5 linked regions of the Kluyveromyces lactis genome follow. The protein of the gene in region 3 binds, or shares a complex with, the protein of the main gene of each other region. Links are inferred from orthologs where the notes say so. Each region holds a gene or a part of one and is shown on either strand. Other genes may lie near its edges.

Region 1 (4,099 bases), about 600 kb from region 3:
CTGTTAAATCCATTGTACTTTTCCGCTTTACTTGGTCTCAGGTTTACACACTTACTGATTGTTATTCCTACAGTTGAAATAAGAGGGCGTCTTAGTTGTAAAACTTCTGTTTATCTACGCATGTCGCCACTAAAAGTGACAACAAATGCTAAATATCTTGCTGAAGACTTCTTCTACGTTCTTTTAAAGAACACGTCACTATATACGGTGGTGATAATAATTTGATATTTACCAATCGCATACCGAATAATAAAGAACATGGTACAAATACTTTGAGTTTGCTTCTCAAAAAGTCTTGAATCTTGTTCTCTTTCGAACCTAAATGGCTTTGAAACATTGTGAAATTAAACGATATTATTTGATCGATGTTTGCCTCAATGATGGTGATTCCTTTCTTATTAAATATGTGTGAACCATAACGACACGTTTAGATCAAAAAAAAAAGTTGCCCCATATGAAATAAGAATTTACATGGTGAATGCCAAATCTGAAACAATTGCGAGCTAAATATTAAAACCAATTGGCGTCTTCAATGCAAGTGAGTACACACATTCGAACAGTTGATTATGTCTGAACTATCCCCCGAGGAAGAAAGAGCCAGAAAGCTCGAAGAAGCCAAGATAAGGGTTGAAGAGTTAAAGAAGAAGAATAAAAACAAGAAGAATAAGAAGAAGAAGGACAAGGAAGATCTTGAAGCAGCTGAAGTCAAAACTGAAACTGAAACTGAATTGGAACCGACTGATACTAATGTATCAGAGAGTCCGGTTCATTCAGATGAACAACCAATCGTGGAAGAGACAAAAGCTGAAGAAAAGGCTGAGATAAATGCTGATGCAAAGGGCAATGACAACAACGAAGAGAAGTTTGAAAAGGAGTCTGTGGAGAAGTCTGAAAAAGAGTCTGCGGAGAACAAGAAAGACTCCGAGGAGGAAGTCCTCGAGAAGGAAGCAACTGATATACCCAACCCAACCGAGGAAGTGTCTAAAGAAGCTTTTGCAGTTCAACAAAAAGAGGAAGAACCAATAGAGGCAAAAAGTACAGATGAAGTTGAAGAATTGTTTGGCGGGAATGATGATAAAGAGAAAGATTTCCTTTCGACGATACAAGAACAGAAAAGCCAAGATGAAGTAATAAACCTCAAGGAAGAAGTTTCAAAGCTAAAAGATCAAGTAAAGCAATTGAAGTTTGTCAACATAGATCAAGAAAGCTCCATAGAAGAGCTTGAAGAACAGATAAACATCATGAAATCTCAACTCAATGATAAAACTGTACAATTGCTGTCCGCTCAGCAGGAGCTATCTACGTCTAGACAAGAAGTAGAGCAGCTTAGAGCAACACAATCACCACAACTAACCCCTGTGGAATTCTCTTCCTTTGATAGACATTCTCCATCCAAATTCGAGCCATCGAGACAGATTCAGCATCCAACGACAGACCCTGTTATGTTAGCTAAGTGGAAGAACTGGAATGTCGATATGACAAATTGGAGATCAGTTGGTGTTGGCCCAGTTGTGGAATTTTAAGTAAGTTTCAGCCTTGTTACTATTACCACAGAGCTATGATTTTTTTATGATTTGTCTCATTTGTCTCGTTTAGGCAAATATAATGCTATAATGTACAAGTATACAATTATATTAGTGTATGTATAAAACTGATATTTGACACGATTGATGATTGTCGCTAAAAGGAAAATCGCACTGATTGAATGTTACTATATACATGGAATATGAGGTGGATTTCCTTTTGATGATATTGGAAGTTTCGATGGTCCATCACACATGTTGATGAAATATTCTGCACTTTGTTTTTGATTATATGACTAATGGTCTTTATTGCTGGGAATTTTACTGATGATTCACCTAATTCTGCATAGCACTTCACCACCGACTTTCTTGGCGATAGCATCATCGATATCCATAATTTCATTCCCAGATTTCACTAAAATTAATTCACCAGGAGCCAAAGGTTTGATCAATCTGACGGAGGTACCTGAACATAGTTTCTTCAAATCATGTGCATCTAGACTGATTCTCAAGTTTGGTTTTGATATCAATCTACAACTAGAAATAACTGGCTTGTTTTCCCTGTATTTTAAACCCAACCACAGTTTTCTAGTAGCGATATTATCTGGCGTTACGTCTACCGGTGTGACATCTGGGCCCTTAGTAGATCCTCGTTGTAAACTGGATAAGAAGCCATGCTTGTATAAGTTATAAGCGAAGTTCAAGTGTAACTTTGTATATGGGATTGAAGTCAAACCAATTCTTGCGCGGGAACAGTTTTGCAAGTGCGCGCAAACATTACCCAAATTCACTAATGACATTCTTGACAAAGTGTATCACAATTGTTATGGAAGCTTAATGAGGATCGTTTTTCCTTGATTGGAGAGGCCAACCCGGTAACAGTTTATCATTGAAGAGTTGTCCTTCATCTCATGTGTATAGCCCAAATTTTGGTGAACAGAAAATTTTTAGAATATCTACATATCCCACCCGTACATCACACCGTCAGTGTTTGGAAAGAAATAGCCAACGGTGTCTTTATCAGCCTAGAATGAAGCGAAAGCAGTGTTGGAAGTAAGCTGCTAGATGCAGTTTCATATAATCTTCTAACTGTACGCCTTCTCAAGCCAGGGTCCTATAATGGCAATCTCCTTACCTCTTCTCTTTTGTTTTGTACCTTATCACTTTTCTATCAAACCTGTGGAAATATTTCGTCAATGACATTTTAAGATCTTTCAATATAGCTTGCTGGAGAAGATCCGGAATGTTATGACATTTTAATTAGGATTGCTTCTTTGTTTCACTACGAGGCCTATAGCCAATCTCATCAGTAGCTATCTGCTGCACTATACAAAGATCAAGGCCGATATGTTCGTACGCGCTGCACCAAGATTATTGAAGTCTCCGGTCATGCGCCGGATGCTGTCTGGAAAAATGGATAAAGCTGAAGAACCACCAAGTTTTAAAACCATTTTACTTGTTGGTTTAGTTGGGACTGCTATTTTTGTTAAGGCAGTCGACTCTTTGGAACAGAACAAGCCTAAAAACACGTACACATTCTCTGAATTTGACACTGTGATGAGTGGTCTAAGAAGAAGAGTTTCGATCTTTGAGCAAGATGATTTAAATTTAAGATGTGTGCAAACCGGAGTTGCAACCAAGAAACTGAAATTCCCCGAAGATGCGAAGGTTATCAAACCTTCAGAAGCTATTGAATTCTTCAGAAATAAGTCTGACGATAAATATTATGTGCTTTTAAATGATTTATATGAAAAGGAGGGGAAATCGTACATGGAAAAACTACCAACAGGTCTCTCTGTCGTCTTGATAGGTAAATATATGAAGGAGAAATGTCAAAAGGGTGACACTGTTTATCTACTTGACTTCCCAGACAATATAAAAGATGCGATCAAGTTCGAAAATGAGGTTTCCGTTATCGACAAAGTTATTGTACCAAATTCAGAAGGAGACGGCCAGGTTTCCAAATACTTTAAAACCGTGGATAAAGTTGAGACCATCTAAAATGACCCCTCATGCCATTTTCCCCATCGGCACCCTTTTGCATATATCTGGGGACTTCCTATAACAATCCATCCAACTTTATCTCGATTAAACTTTGTAAATATCATCAGTATCTAATTGCCATTCAGCAGAAGTACGTTGTGAATAGTGGGATGTAGATATGCTTCGAATAAAAACGTCAATATTTATGTTATTTCTTGGAACTTCCGAATTCTGTGAAACCCATTAACCTGCCGATTTCAGACTGTGGTTGATATTTGATTTCTGCATCAGATTTCTCACATTTGACTCTCTTTGCCGCTTTGCGTTTATTGGATCTCAATTCAGTGTCCCCGATAAATGCTGATACAGATTTATGAAACTGGGATCGTACCTCATTAAGTGGTACTAGATCATTATCCCTCGTATCTTTTATCAATGGCTCGTTGAATATGTTCTCAAACCGTACAACATGTGATTTGTGATTCAAATGGTTAATGAATTGTAGTGTGTCTTTGAAGGTTAAGTCACATATGTCACAGTAAAACCCGAACTGTTTACCTTTTTTCTGCTGACTTAGATTGGCTGATAACGTC
Region 2 (4,110 bases), on a different chromosome or scaffold from region 3:
CATTCCGTTCTGAATTGTGAAGTGGGGTTTGGACAGATAAAGGAAGGGGCAAGGCAGGGCAGTGCTAATTCCAGCCCAAACTTGACCGGCGTTAGTACTCTGGTTAGGCCATGTACCATTTACCTTGTGCCTTACTTCGCAGCTGCAACAAGGGTGAGGAAAATTGAAAATTAAGCTTCTTGAGCTTCTCAAGCACTCTAAAACTGGGACGGAATGGTCCGACTCGGAGTTGCGTTGTTTTTTTTTTTCTTTCCACTCAGGTAGGTTTTACCCGGTCTTTTTTTTTTTTTTTCCATTCCTCTTTGGTTGTGTTAGAACTGACTCAAGGCTCGAGCGTTTATTGCCCAGCAATTGCATGGCATTACGGAGGGAAAAAAATCTGAATAGGATCATCTACTTGTCACGTGATATAAATCGCTACATCGGCAGCATTCTATTTTATACTTTAAACACATTATTGAAACCAATTTCTACTTAGTAGACCATTTTTCTACCGGTGATTGTTCTACGTGAATCGGATTCAGTTTCTTCGTCTAGCTTTGCTCTATTCAAGACCTTGATGAATGTATCAACACGATATCTCATTCTTGAATGCATGTATGCCTTAGCACACTTGATATGGTAATGGAAATAGTTCCTGAATAGGGCAAGCTGTGACACAGATGTGAACATTAGTTCATCGGAGGAGTAGTGACGTGGGAACAATACAAATGTGATGAATCTCCTGGTAGACTTCTTAGCACCTGCAACGTGAGCGTGTTGTTGGGCTACTTCTTGAATTTCCAAAGGTGGTTCATGGGAGAATAGCACTTGAGGCGCAGATTGGATGGATCTATTTCTCTTTCTTGCGTCTACGAATTCTTGTAGGAAAACTTTACCGAAAACTTTGTCAGTTTCATCTTGGAATATAGTTTCGAATATAACAGTGATACGATCAAAGGACGGCTTGATGTATATGTTTTCATCATCTCTGTATTTGATAACCATAGCCCTGGCCTCCTTTGATTTTTCCACTTGGTCTATTTCATTCAATTGAGAAAGAGCATTACTCTGGCCAAACGCTAAATAGAATGGATATGACATTACAAGGATCTTAAACAAAGATGCTTGCACAATAGATTGCGCAGTGATTTGAGATAGATCAACAGTAATGGTAAAATCGTAACCGGCCTCCTTTTTAGCAGATGATAGAGCCAAACCTGGTACTTCATCGAATTTTGCCTGCAAGAACCCTTGTAAATCGTTCCCACTCTCATTACAAGATTGCGTAGCCTTGGTTCTGATGGAAACTAATAGGTTCGACTTATCAGTGCCATCGTTGGTGATGTGTAACGTTGTATAATCAAAGTCGGAGATGATTCTGTCCAAAGTTAAAGGAGACCCATTGTTGTAAGCTTCCAAAGCTTCTGTTAATGTCTTTTGGACCAATAGGTTGTATGGTTTAAGGTGTAACATTATTATGTATTGATATTAGAAGGCTCACAAGTGTTCACCCAGGCTTTTTTTTCGAACAAGTCTATGAGCTTTTCTTCAATTGACTTGGAACAATATCAACTTGTAAGTTTCCTCAACACTGAGCAGGTTTAGTCTCTTCGAAATTTCCCAATTCCTTGCAGATGATGAATCTTTCTTTCTGTTTGTTCCAATAGGGGCACCTTTTCGTTGAAATCGTTGTTAACTAAATTTTCAGCACTTTTCTATGATGGAAAAACCATCCGAACAAAATTTCGGTCACGTGGCCATAAAGATTGAGCAACCAGTAGATAGATTATTCGCATATTTACATGAAGGTCTAGTTTATAAACATAAGTATATATTTTATGTTGATAATTCAGAATATAATACTGTTGGTATCTTACTCCTTTGTTGGTTTCTTCACACCGTACTTCGATCTGGAGCTGATTCTGTTGACAACACCGGCCAAATCACCGGCACCACGGACAACATGATATTTCACACCAGGTAAATCTTGGCAACGGCCTCCACGAACATATACAATACTGTGCTCTTGTGCGTTATGGCCTTCGCCTGGGATATATGCAGAAACAATGTTACCATTGGTTAATCTCACTCTACAAGCTTTTCTCTGAGCAGAATTAGGTTTCTTTGGCTTCAATACCATCACTCTTAGCACAACTCCTTTACGAATCGGGCATACCTCCAAATCTGGGGATTCAGTGATCTTCTTACGGCCAGGAGGCTTGACCCCTCTCTTTATTTGGTTCAACGTGGCTTGTATTGGTGAAGTATATGAGAAAGAACGTTGTTGCAGTGGTGGTGCAAATGCTATGCTTGAACGAACATTACGCAACGATAGTCTAGTCAGACTACTGCTCAATCCGAAAACCTGTTTGAACATTGGTATCTTTGACAGGATTGTTTCTTAAGATCCAGTGCACGTAAGTCAAACTCAGAGTTGAACTTACGCCAACATTTATTCACTGACCGATTGATATAACTCTTTCAATTCAACATTTGCTTCATAATTTTTTGTCAGTTTCTGATGATGAAAAATCATAGTTGAAAATATTCGGAAGTCATGTGATCGAATATGTGTTGTTGCTGATGTCCGGGAAATTGTTCAGAAAATGTGCATGGTTTGAGAGATCTTTTAACCTAAAAGATTTTGTTCATTTCGTTGGGAACACCAGCTGCACTATGCGGGTTCCGAATTACGAGAAAAGTCCTTACTGAGGTAGTTGTTGTATTTCCTATTTTGAAATATCAAACAACTATACTGGATTATGGACGATCAAGCTGTAAGGTGGGTGCAGGTAAATAGGGTGTTTGAACCAACTACTTGAATTATGCGTGATAGAATATTGCGGGGTAGTTTGACTTCCGGGCTCGAGTAATTAGGTAGGCTGGTGTTAAAGCGACTGTCTATTTTTTTAGTTTTTGTATCACGTGCATAAGATCAGATAGTTTTCTCTCCTGGTGTCTGCTGCCGAGTAACAGCCGTTCCGTCACTATTTGGCAAAATGCGTCAAGATAGCCCCATATACGGTAGTTAACGATAGCAATGGCTTATATACACCTCCATATCACGCTAGCATGTGGTAATGAAACACTAGTGAGATTTTGACGGTTTCCTATATGAAGAGGGTAGTGTTGAAGCACTATTGCGGAATGTATAGAAAAAAAAAAAAAAAAAAAAAAAAAAAAAAACAGTAGGTACACTTTAAAGGAAAATAAATCTAGTTATAATAAAGTCTAGTGAATATACAAGGGTTTGGCTCTTTTTTTTGGCTCGTTGATGCATCCGCCACACACGAGAGAAGTGTTTTCAATTGGCATTCTTGAACCTTTCTTATATGTCTGGGGTATTCGGTTATAAGATATTGTGAGGCTAATTCTTGTGTTACCATTTGTGTTAAGTTGAACACGATTGTGATTATAGCCAACCCGAGATGGGTAAAACCCAGTCATTCATTCACCTAAGGCCAGCTGATCTTCTACAAAAGACAGCTGGCAGATCGACTCTACAAACTACAGCGGCAAGCCATGCTGCTTCGAAAGAAACAAAACCTCATATGTTAAGGGTTCATTTGAACAAATATCCTGGTTTCATCGGGCATGCGACTTCAAGGATTAATAGACTATACAACGAGGATTCTTATTCTATGAATATTCTGAAGTTGCCAACAACTATAGCCGAAAGCTCGTTGTTAAACTCAAAAAAATCGATCGCTACTAAGATGAAACTTTGGAAAGAATTACCTCCCCAGAGAAACGTTTTGAATATTTCTATATTTGACGGTCATGGAGGAGATCGTGTCTCTAAGATGCTGGCTTCAGGTTTGCACGATCATATAACAGCTATGGTCCCCATCAGACAAGAGTTTGACGCTGTATTAAAAAAATATCAGGACTTAGTGGGGGGGAAGTACTGGTCGAGGATATACAAAGGTAGAAAGGAGTACTATGAGAGGTATATCAAAAAATGTAACACTAAAGTGGAGCAAGTCCTACTCACGGACGGTGTAGCGCCAAAAAATGGGGCAAGAATGATCTTTGACAAATGGGGAAACATTATTGACAAGACAAGCTTGTTGAGTGAATACGAACGTTTACGTTTGTACATATCCTACCTCAATTATGACTTAAATG
Region 3 (4,362 bases):
GAAAAGACAGGATGATTTCTTGTCGAGCATTGAAGTCATGATCATAGATCAATTGCATTCCATTGAATATCAAAACGCCATGCATGTGACAACAATTTTTCAGCATATCAATAAAATTCCGGAACAGCAACGGGAAGCAGATTTCAGTCGAATCAGAATGTGGTATATTAACGAACAGGCAAAATTCTTCCGCCAAACAATAGTCTTCACTAAATACATATCACCGTTTGCCAACTCAATCTTGAATGGGAAGTGTCGTAATCTTGCTGGAAGATGGAAAAATCATAGGAAGATAAAACCTGAACAATCAAGCATTGGTCAATTAGGACTAAAGGTTAGACAAATATTCCAAAGATTTGATTTAGCAGGAGGGACAGCTCTAGATGAACCTGATTACAGGTTTAAATTTTTTACGAGTGTCATCGTTCCGTCTATTGTGAAATCTACTGGGTACGAGGATGGTATATTATTATACATTCCTGATTATACCGATTTCATCCGTGTTAGAAACTATTTGAAAGAAAAAACTACAATCATATTCGGAGAAATCAACGAGTACTCTAACCAGAAACAATTGACATCCAATAGAGCAAGATTCCAACACGGAAAGGTGAAGGTCTTGTTATACACAGAAAGATTGCACCACTTTAGAAGGTACGAAATAAAAAACGTCAAGAGTGTAATTTTCTACAAGCCTCCGGGAAATCCTGAATTCTATTCTGAAGTTGTTCGCAATATTGGTAAGAACGTATTTTTAGGCAACTGTGATATCAACATTTCAACTGTCAGATGCATATATAGTAAGATGGACGGTCTTTCTCTAGAGAGAGTCGTAGGATCTAAACGCGCGGCAGTATTGGCTCATGGCCAAAACGAAGTGTACGAGTTTAAATAGAGTGGATCAAATATGCCATAAATAATTAGTAAACCGAAAACTTACGCAATCGTTCTCCTTTACTAATAGCTTAGAGTATTAAAATATGTTGCACTTTTCAACTTCTTTGTTTGTTGTAGAATTTTGAAACTCAAAGTCAGATTCAAAGAGTACATATTAATTCTTAATTATTTGATGCAAAGAGACAAGCCCGCAAACGAATCCAATAGCCGCCCGATAATAGATTAAACTAATTTTATACTTAAAATATAATTCTATAGACCTCAGAGCCGGTCAAACTTGCTAATGAGAGCTTTCACCTATAGCAATTGTGACTTATCTTTATCTTTTCCCTTGGGTTTATCAACTGTTGAATTGCGAAACTGCCATGGCAATGCAAGCTAAAGACACATAAGGACTAGCTCTTTCCCCAATTCTCGCAAACTTCCAAAATACTCCTAGTATACCGCTGTCCTTATAACGATCAAGGAGCGATGGTCTTTGTGCATGAATATATGTGCACGAACATATGAACAATAGTATAACTTGTAACAATGATTTAAAATTGAATAGGGCAGACATGTTTTTCAGAAAAGCTAGTGACCGTGAATATTCTGCCGAAGAAAATATCTACTCTGAACCTTTCAAAACAGGAACGAGATGAAACCTAAGGTTCATCAGTTATCATTCCACTGTATTGAAAAGAATAAAGGAACTTACGCTCCCCATACACTTAGCTCTTCGATCTTTAATTTTGGTGAAAAATGTTTACTCTTCACGTGATCTAAAAATTGAATGCTTCTACTTAGAAAAATTTGAAAAATCTGATCGACGATCCAAAATGAAATTATAGTGAAAAGTTGAAAAGTTCACAAATATGCTGTATGAACAGCTCCAGGACAACAAGTATTGGATCGATTGCTTGAACCTGCGAGTTTACTGAGATAGTATAGAGTAAACGGGCCATATAAACGTCAGATATAAAATGAAGGTTCAGCAAGAAGCCGTTAATGTACTAGAACGTACATCCGCCTATTTGAAGTCTGGTATTTTGAAGAAGACTCCAGCTTGGTACAATGTTATAGCGAAGGTACCACCAACAAAGAAGTTTGCTAGAACCCCACAACTGACACATCCTATGAACGGTAAATCTAGAACTGCACTACCTGATTACAGCAATTGGAAGGCCAATTCTTCAGGATTATACAAAACTAGACCAAATTCTTTGGAAAAGAAAGATGGTGCATCGAAGCTATATCAGTCCCCAAAATTAGTATATATCGAGGATAAATTGAGAAAATTGTTCTTCCAGCAACATCCATGGGAACTTTCAAGACCTAAGATTCTTGTTGAGAATACCCTAGAGACTCAAGAATATGACTGGTCTCATATCCAACAACTAGGCAAGCCATTGGATGGCGAATCAGTTGTACAAAGGACGCTTTTCCTATTAAAATCAGGAGAGAAAAAAGAACTCATTGATGCATATGATCAAGCTAGATTCGAGTTCTACCGTCTAAGAATACAACAAGAAATTCAAGATCAAGTTGCTCAAGAAGAAGCCGAAATGTTCGGTTCAGTCTTCCATACCACTTCAATAGAATACGGAATTGCTAAGGAACAAAAGGTCATTGACACATGGAAGAGAAAGGCCTTACAGCAAGCTGAGTTGATGGCTGCCAGAGCAAGTAGTCCTTCTGCTTCCTGGACAAACGAGACCGAAGAAGAACAAAAACCTATTGATCAAGATGTTGAGGAAATTCAACTATGATCTTCCACAATTAAACACAACCAATGAACACTATTCCCGTCAGAACTCTGAGTTTTACTGTCATTATTGTATAAAAATTTCATGTATATATAAGTCACTATAACTATAAAGTTACTCATAGTTAATTCACGAATTGAAAGTACTTTCATGAGCATCACAAAAAGCATAAAAGATCAAACTAAATGGGGTGTCTTTGCATTTGACAAACGTCAGTTGTCACCCTACTACTATTTTTTTATTTCTCCCTCATAAGCTGAAACAAATGAGTTCTCTGTTTCAAATATTTATCGAAGTTAATAAAATCTCGTATCTCTACAATTTTAAAGTTCTTCTTGATCTTTTGGAAGAAATGTTTGTCCGCTTTACGCCTTTTCTTGTATGCCATTAGAATAATTGGCACATTCTCCCCATCAGTTAATTCTAACAGTGTTTTTTCCAATAATGGGAAAGCAGCTTCTAAGTACACACAGTCCGCAGCTAGCACTAAATCAACCGGTTTCTTGACAAATACATCCGGCAAGGGATTCCCCCACCATAACACCTCGGCGTGAACCTTATCATCCAATCCGTTGACTTGAATATTAGATTCCATGAGACCAAGCAGCTGATCAATGTCAGAAATATAAACTTCACGATCTGAATATTCATTCGCTTGATCCATTAGACCAACACAAAGCCCAACTAGACCTGTACCACTACCCAGTTCCAAAACGCTATTGCAATTCCCATCTGGAAACAAATGACTTAGCAAATGTTCCTTGTCGGATTTTTCAAGGATATATTCGCATAGCAGTTCACCTGCTATCCACACTTTACCTCCGCATCCGGATTCACCACCATCTTCATTGATTATAAGAGGACTCGGCAGTTTTCCATTGAAAGACATATCAATTTTGCCCAGATGCTCAATTGGCCTAGCTGGCACTAGTTCCTCAAAACAACTTGAAAACGGCACATCCCCCATAATGAATGCCTTACAGGTCTCCAACACTGTTCGCTCTTTTCGATCTCTCGTCAGCACTTCTAAAAGTGACATCGACTGTTACATAATATGGAATTTGTCTACAGGTTTTCTCGGAATAGTCGTATTTTTCACTCTTTTTTTAGAGTTTACAGACTAAACTTCTTCATGATGTGAAAAAAAAGGACATCCAACGACAATATATTCCATTTACAATACGATGTACATTGTACTGAATCTGCAATTGAATATGTTCTCTCTATAGTGTATAAATAAATGAAGGCTATGAAACTTCTGCTGAGGTGTTATGCATGAAAAGTCTGTAGACTATAGGTGCGTCAGTTTTTTTATATATGTACTTTTTTGGCCGGCTTTTTCTCTTATGCTTGAGACACTAGGGACAAATTCTCATCAACTTGACACATTTCCACACCTGTAGCCAACATTTGATCTTGTAGTGCTGTCTTTATAAACGGAATGACTTTTTCCATATCACTTGCAGTGTTTTTTGTTATACCCGAATAATTCTCTGGGAAAATCAAAACTGAGTTTAAGTCTTTCAAGAAGCGATATTGAGGTGTTTTCACTAAAGTATACTTCAAGAAATCATGCACCAGAGGTTCGATATTATCTATTTGGCTTGAATCGAACACTCCGGAAATGACTATTGCATTAGGGCCCTCGTATGGGGCCGGTAAAGGTGTCTCGGATGCGGGGATATTAATTAAGGTTTTCGTGACTTTTGTTGAGTAATGT
Region 4 (5,359 bases), on a different chromosome or scaffold from region 3:
GGAAAATGACTGAAACAAATTTCTCAGTGCAGGGGTACAATTTGGTAAAACTTTTGAAGAGATTGGAGGATGCTACTGCCAGATTGGAGGATGTTACGATTTATCAAGAAGGCTATGTTCAATCCAAGTTTGGCTTAGAGAAAGACGGTAAGGTTGATGGGTTCGCTGATTCTGTTACTGCTTCTTCTGCTGAAAGAATTGCTAGTGCAGGTTCAGGCGCATCAGCAGCTTCTAAAGAAGCCGCAACACCGGTAGCAACAGCACCAAACAGTACTGGTGAATCGAAGGAGGAAGAACCGAAATCAATTCAAGAATTTAAGCATTTCATTGAACAGAACGTTGATCCTTTGGTTAAATTATCCGCTGAAATTGATCCTACTGTTGAAAAAGCTGTGGTGTTTTTAGCCAACGCTTTCAAAGCTCAGTTGGTGTTTTTAAAGGCAGCAGTACAATCAAAGAAGCCAGACTTTTCGTCATCTGCATTCGTGAAAGGTTTGACCCCAATTAACGAGAACATCTTCTCTATTGGTGAGTTGAAAGAGGAGAACCGTAACAGTAAGTATTTCGCTCATTTGAATGCTATCTCTGAGGGATCACCACTGTTCTCATGGATTGCTGGATCTACACCTGTGTCTACTATCACTGATTTCAAGGACGCTGCCCAGTTTTGGACAAATAGAATCTTGAAAGAATTCAGAAGCACTGATCCTAAATCCGTTGAATGGGTCCAACAATTTTTGTCCGTTTTCGATAGCTTGAAGCTGTACGTTAAGGAATACCATACCACAGGTGTGACTTGGAACGACACTACTGGTGAGGATTTCGAAACCGTATACGAAAGAGTTTCCAACGAGGGATCCGGAGCTTCTTCTTCTGGTGCTACTTCCAGTGAGCCGCATAGTTCAGGCGCCGGAGCTCCTCCACCTCCACCTCCACCTCCTCCGGCTTCCGTATTCGAAGTCAATGAACAATCAAAAGAACAAGAATCTGGTGGAATCGGTGCTGTGTTTGCTGAGTTAAACCAAGGTGAAAACATCACTAAATCCTTAAAGAAAGTAGAAAAGTCTCAGCAAACACATAAGAACCCAGAACTTCGTGCCTCAGGGAAGGTTTCTGACAAAGCTGTTCCTCCACCTAAACCAAAGAAACCATCTACTCTGAAGACTAAGAAGCCTCCAAGAAAGGAATTGATCGGTAATAAATGGTTTATTGAAAATTATGAAGATGAAGCCGAACCGTTAGTGATCGAAACTAAAATTGACGAATCTGTTTTCATCGGTAAATGTGTCAACACATTGGTACAAATCAAAGGTAAGGTCAACGCAGTTACTGTCAATGAAACAGAAAAATGCAGTTTAGTGCTAGATTCTTCCATCAGTGGTGTGGATATTATTAAATGTTTGAGATTTGGTATTCAAGTGGAAAACACCCTGCCACAAATCACCATCGACGCGTCTGATAGCGGCTCCATTTATTTGAGTAAAAACTCTTTACAGGCTCAAATTTTCACCTCTTCTAGCACTGGTATTAACATCAACACTCCAACTGGTCCCGATGGTGACTTCGTTGAAGTTCCACTTCCAGAACAGATGATACACACTTTCGTCGAAGGTAAACTACAAACCAAGATTTACGAACATGCTGGTTGAATATCTGAATAGTATATCTTCTCGTTACTGGGTGTTAGTTTATTCTTTACTCATTAGAACATATAAATATATATATATAATTAATATAATATGATACGATAAAATAATGATAATAATATGTACAAGGTTTCCAAGATACACCATTCTTTTTAAATTGTCATAGTCACAGTGTATCCATTCTTTCGTGTGTATTTGTTTTCGTCAACTTATTTACCCCTTCTCACATAGTACATGTATGAACGTTCATGTACAGGTAAGCCGAATGGAGTAATAACTTCAGATTGACCTGGACGTGCAACAGGGTCTCTTAAGTAGACCGCATGACATGTCTTGAATGATATTTCCAAATGGTGTGGTAGAATGGCGAATGGTGCTAAGAAGGGTCTTGGTTTCCACGGAGTGAAATATGGTTTAGATGGATCGTTACGACCAAACACACCCTTTTGCCATGGTAAATTGATAGCTTTTTGAGCAGCTGGTTCGTTTTCCAATAGTTCAGGAACATTGATCTTTTGATGCAATGGTAACTTTTCAGCCCACTTAGCATCGTATGGAATATCAACAGAATCAACGGATGCCATCTTGTCATTATAATGTTCTCTGACCACGGTTTCATAGAAATGTCTCAAATCAACTATAGTATGATTGATGGCTCTGAATTTTTTCTTTAAGGCATCGTTTGTGTTATCAACAGGTTTAGTTATTCCTGTAGCCACCTTTAGCAATTCACCTTGTTCATTAGGAATTTCAGCCAAAGGCTTCCCTGCTATCGTTTCCACAGCCTTGGCAGACTTGACTTCTCTATAAATTTCGAATCCTTTAGCTGCCAAATTTTCGTTATTGTAAAATTCGCCCAAGAAATCTTTTACTGCCAATTTTTCTACATCGTTAACGCGGTTAACGGTAGAAAAGATCTTAGCTAACAAATACTCGTTACTGGTTTGGTCTAATTCTTTCCTCATTTGAATGTGCATGGTTTTGTTGTAGTTTTCGAGGAAGGATAAAAATTCCTGTTTCTTTGGATCGTTACTATCCATAGTTCTTAGTTTTTCGATCTTTTCATCCCAGAACTTTCTAGGATTCTTTCTAGCCTCTAGAATATATTTGTTCCATAGGAAAATTTGGGTATTATCCACTTTCAAAGCTTCCTTCAAGCTAGGTTTCTTGGCACCAAGAGCTTGTAGCACTTTTTCGGGTCTGACGTTGAAAACATCACCAGCTTTCAAGGCATATCCCGGAGAAGTAATCTTTACACCATTCACATGGACGTTGCCATGTAAAATAAACTGACGAGCTTGTCTCACTGACGAGGCAAACATAGCTCTAAACAAAGCAAAGTCTAGCCTTTTCTCTAGTACAGCGTATGTTTGTAATAGAATGGGCGTCGGTTCGATATCACCACCCCTTAGAGAAGCATCTAATTGAGCCACAGAGTTTAGCTGAGGCTCGAAAACAGACTGCCACCTACTCTCTGTTAAATGTTCGCCATGGTAGGCACGAGTTTCCTGTTTAGAAGTCCATTTCTGTTGGTATAGTGTTTTCGATCTAAAACTGACCTGAGATTTCTTATACAAGTTGAACAAATTGTACTTGTTAAAAGAGGTACGAACCTTCCCTCTGGACAAAGAGTTCAGAAGTACAGCTTTCCTAGGCATTGCTGGTCTTTTTCTTCACAATGTATTGACAAAACTAACCAGAATTGACTGCTTACGGACTCTTCGAAATGGAAATACATTGCATATCCGAACTACCTGCATAATATTTTTCAATCAAACGCTATCTAATGCTTGAAGCTTTCCGATATTGAAAAATTTTTAGAGGAATTTCGTGACATATGATATCAAATATTAGCATTCATAGTTTAGAAAGATGAGAAACACCATAGAACCATATTGAGATGGACTGGCGAAGATGGTATCAAGCCTCATACGATCTGCTTTATCAGCGATCTTGATAGGAACTTTATTATATCAATTGCAAGAACGTTCTTTTGGTGTATAAGGTTGTGATACTTCAGATAAAAGTAATACGATACGGTTCACTGCGATGTCCGCTGTAAAGATAGAATCACCTAGAGGGCAAACATGGAGTAAAGTGGAGGAAATAAGGCTGTTTAAATGGATGATGCTGTTCAAACCTGCAGGAATACATAAACACTTCCATATGGTGTGTTTGCTTGAGCGATTGAACAAGCCAGATCAGTATCCAATCAAACTTTTGCAAAGCGATAAAGGCAGCTCAGATAAAGTGTTTTCTGGGGAGGACGTTTGGGAACAATTGAGTCGGTACTATAATTTAGAGAAGGCAGATGAAGTAGAGAACCAGCCATACCCTGAATTTTATAATGATGACGGACCAACCGAAACTACAAACAAAAAGACAGAAGGGGACGCTCAACTAGATAATGATGATGACAGTGACAATGATGTTGACAATTGTGACGAGCTTAAGAGAAATATAATACCATTACAAAATAGACTCCAGCAAGAGACGGAATTTGAACTATCGTGGGAAGATTATGGAGAACTTATGTTAGAACATGCTAGGGATCATGAGGTGGAAGATATTAAGCAAGAGGAGACCGCTTCTGCGGATGACAAGGCAAAACTGAAGGGTGCGGAATCACAGGATACGCAAGTAGAACAAGAGTCAGAAGAGCCACGGGAACGAGAAAAGGATATCGATGAAAAGGATACTGAGCAAAATAATGTACAGGCGAAACAAGAAATGGCGACCACTCCGCCAGTCAGTGTTGGAGAATCTGTGAGCGAACTGGCGAATGAACCTGTCGATGAACCTGTCGATGCTCATAAGAAACCAAGGACAAGACGCTCTACAAGGTTGACACGTTCACAAAAGCGAGGCATTGATGACGAAAGTGAAAACAAAGAAGACCAACCCCATGGCGGAAACACCGATGAAAAGGAAGATGTCGAACACGATACAGAAGGGAGATCTGGTAGCGAAAAAGAATCGACTGCTGATGCCGCAGATACTACAGCTACAAAACAAGTCACATTTGCTGATGAATCTGAAGGTGCTGCCAAGGAATCAGCTAATTCGCCGACAGGGAAAGCAGAAGAGAACGAAACGGAATCATCTCAACAGCCGCGCCCTAAGAAACAAAAAGTTGCCGCTGCGGAGGAAGTTCCTGAAGATCTTGCCGACGTGGATTCTCCAGCTAGGAGAACAAGAAGAAAATCCATAACAAAACCAACTACAAGGCTCTCGAGCAGGCTTAGAAGCAGGAAGTAGTTGTTCTTGATTGTTTTTTCAATAATGCAATAACAACATAATATAGCTAATGGTTTATATTATAGGCATTTCGTTGATGTACAAAAATTGAATGTTAAAATGGAAGCATACAAACACTACGGCTACAATTTGATAGCAATTCCCATGTTGAAAGGTTGATGAGAAGGTACGGAAAGATGTAAAGCTATAATAATAATAATGGATGGGACCAATTGGAAGGAATCAAGGGAGAAACCAAAGAAAAAATGTGAAGGAAATTAATAGTATGTGTTTTATTCAGAAGAATGACATTATACATCTAGTTAATCTTCAACAATTCAACATCAAAGACTAAAGTAGCATTTGGTGGGATCAAACCTGGGAAACCACGTGGACCATAAGCGTATGGGCCTGGGATAGTTAGTCTTGCCTTTTCACCAACGGACAACTTTGGAATAGCAGCATCCCAACCCTTG
Region 5 (4,250 bases), about 700 kb from region 3:
ATTTGTTTCGATCCACCTAAGGTAAAAATGATGCAATTTTACTCGTTAGAGCCGATATCACTAATATTACAGAACCCATTCGAAGATTTCGGTGTAGAAACAACAGATAATAGCGCTATTCATGATGGTACATCGGTTTTTAACATCAGAAAGAAGTGGGAATCGAGATTGCGGGAGAATATCGATCATCTCAATTTATACTATCAACATCTCGAAGTGTTCTATAAGAGATATGCAATATACAAGAACAAATCAACGTTGAATATTTCGATAACAGATTTGAAATTGCGGATGCGTGCAACTTCTGTTTACAGAGGTATTAGATGTTTAGCTTTTTATGGTGCCGCCTTGATAAGAATTGTTGCAGGATTTGTGTCGTATGTTTTAAATTGGAGGGTATTGCCATTGGTAAAGTTATTCGCAACTGCTCAGCAGATTGACCTTAGATGCCAGCAACTTTGTTATATTCCAGTACAATATCTAAGGATTAATAAAAATGTCAAATTGACTGATCTAGACCTTCGAACAGATGAAAATGGTAGCATAGATGAAAATGATAAGAGTTCGGGTTTCACTAAACGTCGTAAAAGCCACCTTGTGCTACCGAAAGCACTTCCCTGCGAAACCTATCCTGATTATATTCGACTTTACAATACTCTTTGGCTCATCATAAACGATGTTTCGTTTGGTGCCACACTAGGAACTGTGTTATATGAAAACCGTATTACATTGGCCCAAAATATCAGTACAACTTTAAAGTATTTACTTTATGAGCTTCCCATGCAGGTGACGTTGATTTTAGAACAAAACCCACTGGGTATCAAACTTAATGATGAGCTTTCCAGGTTTTTAAGCTCTCTTTTTTTGTTAATCATCGAATTCACTTATACCGGATGGATTCGCTCGTGCATTGAACCAGAAACTATACGACAGGGAATAACAGTAATGTCTCATATCAGTGCTGTCATAGGGTTCACTTTCACTTTGGCCCTGGCTGTTGACTTCCTGTGGATCATGACGCTGCATATCTCATTATTTTACATGATTAGTGTCAAACTTTATCATGTTCATATCTATGTGTTGAAGAGTTTATTCTACCTGTTTTATGGGAAGAAGCAAAATGTGTTACGTAGAAGAGTTGATGATATGTACTTCGAATTAGATCAGCTATTGATGGGAACTTTAATATTCACGGTGTTAATCTTCTTGTTGCCAACGTTATTTTCATTCTATTTGGTATACACAGTGTTCAGATTTGTTGACCTTACAGTGAAAGTGTTGCTTGAACTAAGTTTGGCCCTTATCAACCATTTCCCTTTATTTGCATTGCTTTTACGGATAAAAGATGCTAAAAGGTTACCTGGTGGTATCAAGTTCAAAGTATATGATGATCACTTATTAATATCGAATAATCCAATCAGCTTTTTCATGACCTTTGAACCATTCACAAACGTCATGAAATCCATTCAAAGACAGATGTTCTCGGTTGAGACTTTGAAGATGGTGAGTCAGGGATCAGTTCTTAATGTACGAAGAGATGAACTCTATCGTGTTTTGTACCATAATCTACCGAGACATCCAATTGATATCGATTTACTATGGAAAAAGTTAAAGATGGTAATGGAACAAGATACGATATAAACCCCTCTCACAACCACAATTAATGGCACAGATTGCATAGTTTGAATCTTACTTGAATATTCGTATTTAATAAAAACATAGTTGAAATTCGTTAAATTCTTGGGTCTATTTGAACTGACTGATATAATTTATATACAAGGTATTTTTATATGATGGAAATGTTAATTGCAAGTCCCTTTAAGTGGGATAAAAGGATAGGCTGGGCTCATTTTGATCACTTTCTCTTCTTGGTCTTTTTACCGTCACCAGAGGCCTCTCTCTTCTTAGTTGGAGCACCCTTACCTCTACGCTTTCTTAGTTCAAGCATAGTCAATCTATATTGTTCTTCTTCATCAACGAAGTTCATGCCTGGATATAGTTTCTTCAATTGCTTGAATCTGATAAAATCTGGGTTACCATAATAATTCGCAATAGCAGGTCCTTTAAGCCTCTGTGCTAGGATCTTAGACCCAGTTCTGGCATTTGTTGGATTGAAATTTTGATCAAAAACTTTGGCTGATATCTCAGCAAGCTTCAGTAGCCTAGATTTGGGTACAGACATTTCTCAAAATATGAAAATATGAGTGATAACTGATGGAACAACCCGCAAACTAGTTCGCTGAGAGTTAAAGCACACCTAAGACCTATTTATTGGTACTTTCACTTACTACTTCTGCAGCAGGTTTCTATTTTATGCAAGCTCAGTTTTTTTTCGAATGTTCCAATGTTCAAATTTTCATTATCAGGAAATTATCACCATGATGAGGATAAGAGCGATGAGAGATGCGAGAAGGGTCACATTGCCATACTGGGTACTGAAGCACCATTGAAGGGGAAATATTCAGTTGGCACGTTCAATCAATTAAATAATATTCAATTCTTTGTATAATTATCGGGTACTAGCCTGGATCAATAATGATATTAAAATTATACACGATGTGGAGTTTTAAAAACTAGTAAAAATAGTTAAAAATATGAGCGGATGGTTGAGAGTTGTTGCATGAAGCTATAATAATAACAATGATAGTATGCTAAGCATTGAATCTATATTATAGAATGATGAATTAAACAAAAAAAAAGGTGGAATAACTTCCAGGAATTCAGTTAAAGAATTCTTGAAGTTTAGTTCCATTCTTCTTCTTGAGCTTGACCTTCTTCAGCCCATTCAGCAGCTTCGGTTTGTTCTTCAGTAGCGTCAACGGCTTCTTCAGTTTGTTCACCGGAAGCAACAGCTTCTTCTTCAGCAGTTTGTTGTTCGATTTCTTCTGGGTTTCTGTAGAAGTACAAATCTGGCATGATAGCCCATGGTTGAGTTCTGTCTGGTAGAGCACCTCTCAATCTTAGGACTTCTCTAGCCAACAAGTACCAGATCAAACCGATGGAGTGCTTACCTCTGTTGTTACATGGGATAGCAACATCAACGTATTCGGATGGGGAGTCCAAATCGGTCAAAGCGATGACTGGGATGTTAACGTAAGAAGATTCCTTGATAGCTTGAGCATCGGATCTTGGGTCAGTAACGATAACCAATCTTGGTTCCTTGAAAGATCTGGTGATGTAGTTAGTGAAAGAACCTGGGGTAAATCTACCAGCAATTGGAGTAGCACCGGTGTGAGCAGCGTACTTCAAGACAGCTCTTTGACCATAAGTTCTGGAAGAGATAGCAACAACATCTTCTGGGTTTGGAATGGCAGCAATGATTCTGGCAGCCAAAACAATCTTTTCCCAGGTCTTACCAACGTTGATAACGTTGACACCATCTGGTCTAGCCTTGTAGACGTATGGTTCTTGGTGAACCTGTTAATAATTAAAAAATAACCATGCAAACGTTTCGTTCGCAAAAGTTAAAAATATATTGTTAGTAAAGAGAGAGCTTTTTCCCAACCGCAACATGCGACAGGATACACTTTTCGAAGTGCAGATATTACCATATGATAGAGGAGATGTTCGTGTACTTTTTTATTATTATTTTAGTTCCCTAGAAATGGCAGGCCATTTCAATTGTTGTTCTTTTAACAGATTCAGTTAAAACCATATCCTCTCGTACTTCAGTCTGATATCCTTGTTCGAAGGGAATCAGAATTGAAATAACGAGGGGAAATAGAATGTTTAACGTACGTATATCCTCTATGCTGTTAGGTAAAGAGCAACAAATATAAATATTTGCATATTCTTTCTTGTGAGTGAAGCCATTATCCTTGACATCAGCACTCATTTAGTTAGTAGCACCGTGCCAAATATTCAACATCCATGATTAACCTGCGGAGAGGCCTAACCAATGTTATTGATTTAAAACACGAGCAAAAACAAGGTACAAGCATAAGTACAGAAGTATCATGACAGCTAATCTTGCTGTGATACAATATTCTCTTTTTTGTAACAGTTCTTTCTAATTGATGCATTTCTGGTATTGAACAAACACCACTCCTCTTATCGAATACGTATTATCCAAACCGAAGTTCGTATCCATATTTCGTAAATTTCTCAACATACTTGGACGTTCTTAGCACCCAAGTGGACTCTGGCAGCCAACAACAATTGGGCGTCTTCTGAGGTCAAGTCGAAGGTAGATGGCAAAGACATTGTTTGATATATTCTTGTTCTCTTGGAGCTATCAATTGTGAATCGTA

Evidence for each region. Proteins that work in one complex are often made in the same cells at the same time.
Region 1: RSM25 (region 3) and MRPS8 share a complex: the UniProt entries of both Saccharomyces cerevisiae proteins name them as parts of the mitochondrial small ribosomal subunit. The link is inferred for Kluyveromyces lactis from reciprocal best matches to the Saccharomyces cerevisiae genes RSM25 and MRPS8.
Region 2: RSM25 (region 3) and MRPS12 share a complex: the UniProt entries of both Saccharomyces cerevisiae proteins name them as parts of the mitochondrial small ribosomal subunit. The link is inferred for Kluyveromyces lactis from reciprocal best matches to the Saccharomyces cerevisiae genes RSM25 and MRPS12.
Region 4: RSM25 (region 3) and NAM9 share a complex: the UniProt entries of both Saccharomyces cerevisiae proteins name them as parts of the mitochondrial small ribosomal subunit. The link is inferred for Kluyveromyces lactis from reciprocal best matches to the Saccharomyces cerevisiae genes RSM25 and NAM9.
Region 5: RSM25 (region 3) and RSM27 share a complex: the UniProt entries of both Saccharomyces cerevisiae proteins name them as parts of the mitochondrial small ribosomal subunit. The link is inferred for Kluyveromyces lactis from reciprocal best matches to the Saccharomyces cerevisiae genes RSM25 and RSM27.

Annotation. Positions count from the first base shown.
Region 1 is NC_006041.1:140,681-144,779, reverse strand, and holds MRPS8 (mitochondrial 37S ribosomal protein uS8m), read right to left. Parts: upstream 2,324-4,099; coding exon 1,856-2,323; downstream 1-1,855. Other genes in the region: guanine nucleotide exchange factor GET3, read right to left, coding at 1-13; BUG1 (Bug1p), read left to right, coding at 567-1,523; AIM36 (Aim36p), read left to right, coding at 2,871-3,524; U4/U6-U5 snRNP complex subunit SNU23, read right to left, coding at 3,715-4,099. UniProt on the Saccharomyces cerevisiae protein: Component of the mitochondrial ribosome (mitoribosome), a dedicated translation machinery responsible for the synthesis of mitochondrial genome-encoded proteins, including at least some of the essential transmembrane subunits of the mitochondrial respiratory chain.
Region 2 is NC_006042.1:669,459-673,568, reverse strand, and holds MRPS12 (mitochondrial 37S ribosomal protein uS12m), read right to left. Parts: upstream 2,360-4,110; coding exon 1,856-2,359; downstream 1-1,855. Other genes in the region: ARC35 (Arc35p), read right to left, coding at 475-1,455; type 2C protein phosphatase PTC6, read left to right, coding at 3,411-4,110. UniProt on the Saccharomyces cerevisiae protein: Component of the mitochondrial ribosome (mitoribosome), a dedicated translation machinery responsible for the synthesis of mitochondrial genome-encoded proteins, including at least some of the essential transmembrane subunits of the mitochondrial respiratory chain.
Region 3 is NC_006041.1:743,286-747,647, forward strand, and holds RSM25 (mitochondrial 37S ribosomal protein mS23), read left to right. Parts: upstream 1-1,859; coding exon 1,860-2,645; downstream 2,646-4,362. Other genes in the region: rRNA-binding ribosome biosynthesis protein UTP25, read left to right, coding at 1-895; KSH1 (Ksh1p), read right to left, coding at 1,238-1,456; EFM6 (putative protein-lysine N-methyltransferase), read right to left, coding at 2,881-3,681; FAP1 (Fap1p), read right to left, coding at 3,987-4,362. UniProt on the Saccharomyces cerevisiae protein: Component of the mitochondrial ribosome (mitoribosome), a dedicated translation machinery responsible for the synthesis of mitochondrial genome-encoded proteins, including at least some of the essential transmembrane subunits of the mitochondrial respiratory chain.
Region 4 is NC_006037.1:1,005,265-1,010,623, forward strand, and holds NAM9 (mitochondrial 37S ribosomal protein uS4m), read right to left. Parts: upstream 3,305-5,359; coding exon 1,856-3,304; downstream 1-1,855. Other genes in the region: SRV2 (adenylate cyclase-binding protein), read left to right, coding at 6-1,649; EAF7 (Eaf7p), read left to right, coding at 3,696-4,904; peptidylprolyl isomerase FPR1, read right to left, coding at 5,203-5,359. UniProt on the Saccharomyces cerevisiae protein: Component of the mitochondrial ribosome (mitoribosome), a dedicated translation machinery responsible for the synthesis of mitochondrial genome-encoded proteins, including at least some of the essential transmembrane subunits of the mitochondrial respiratory chain.
Region 5 is NC_006041.1:1,439,042-1,443,291, forward strand, and holds RSM27 (mitochondrial 37S ribosomal protein mS33), read right to left. Parts: upstream 2,183-4,250; coding exon 1,856-2,182; downstream 1-1,855. Other genes in the region: GPI1 (phosphatidylinositol N-acetylglucosaminyltransferase), read left to right, coding at 1-1,641; KLLA0_E16149g (uncharacterized protein), read left to right, coding at 2,345-2,509; RPS0A (40S ribosomal protein uS2), read right to left, coding at 2,743-3,417, 4,114-4,203. UniProt on the Saccharomyces cerevisiae protein: Component of the mitochondrial ribosome (mitoribosome), a dedicated translation machinery responsible for the synthesis of mitochondrial genome-encoded proteins, including at least some of the essential transmembrane subunits of the mitochondrial respiratory chain.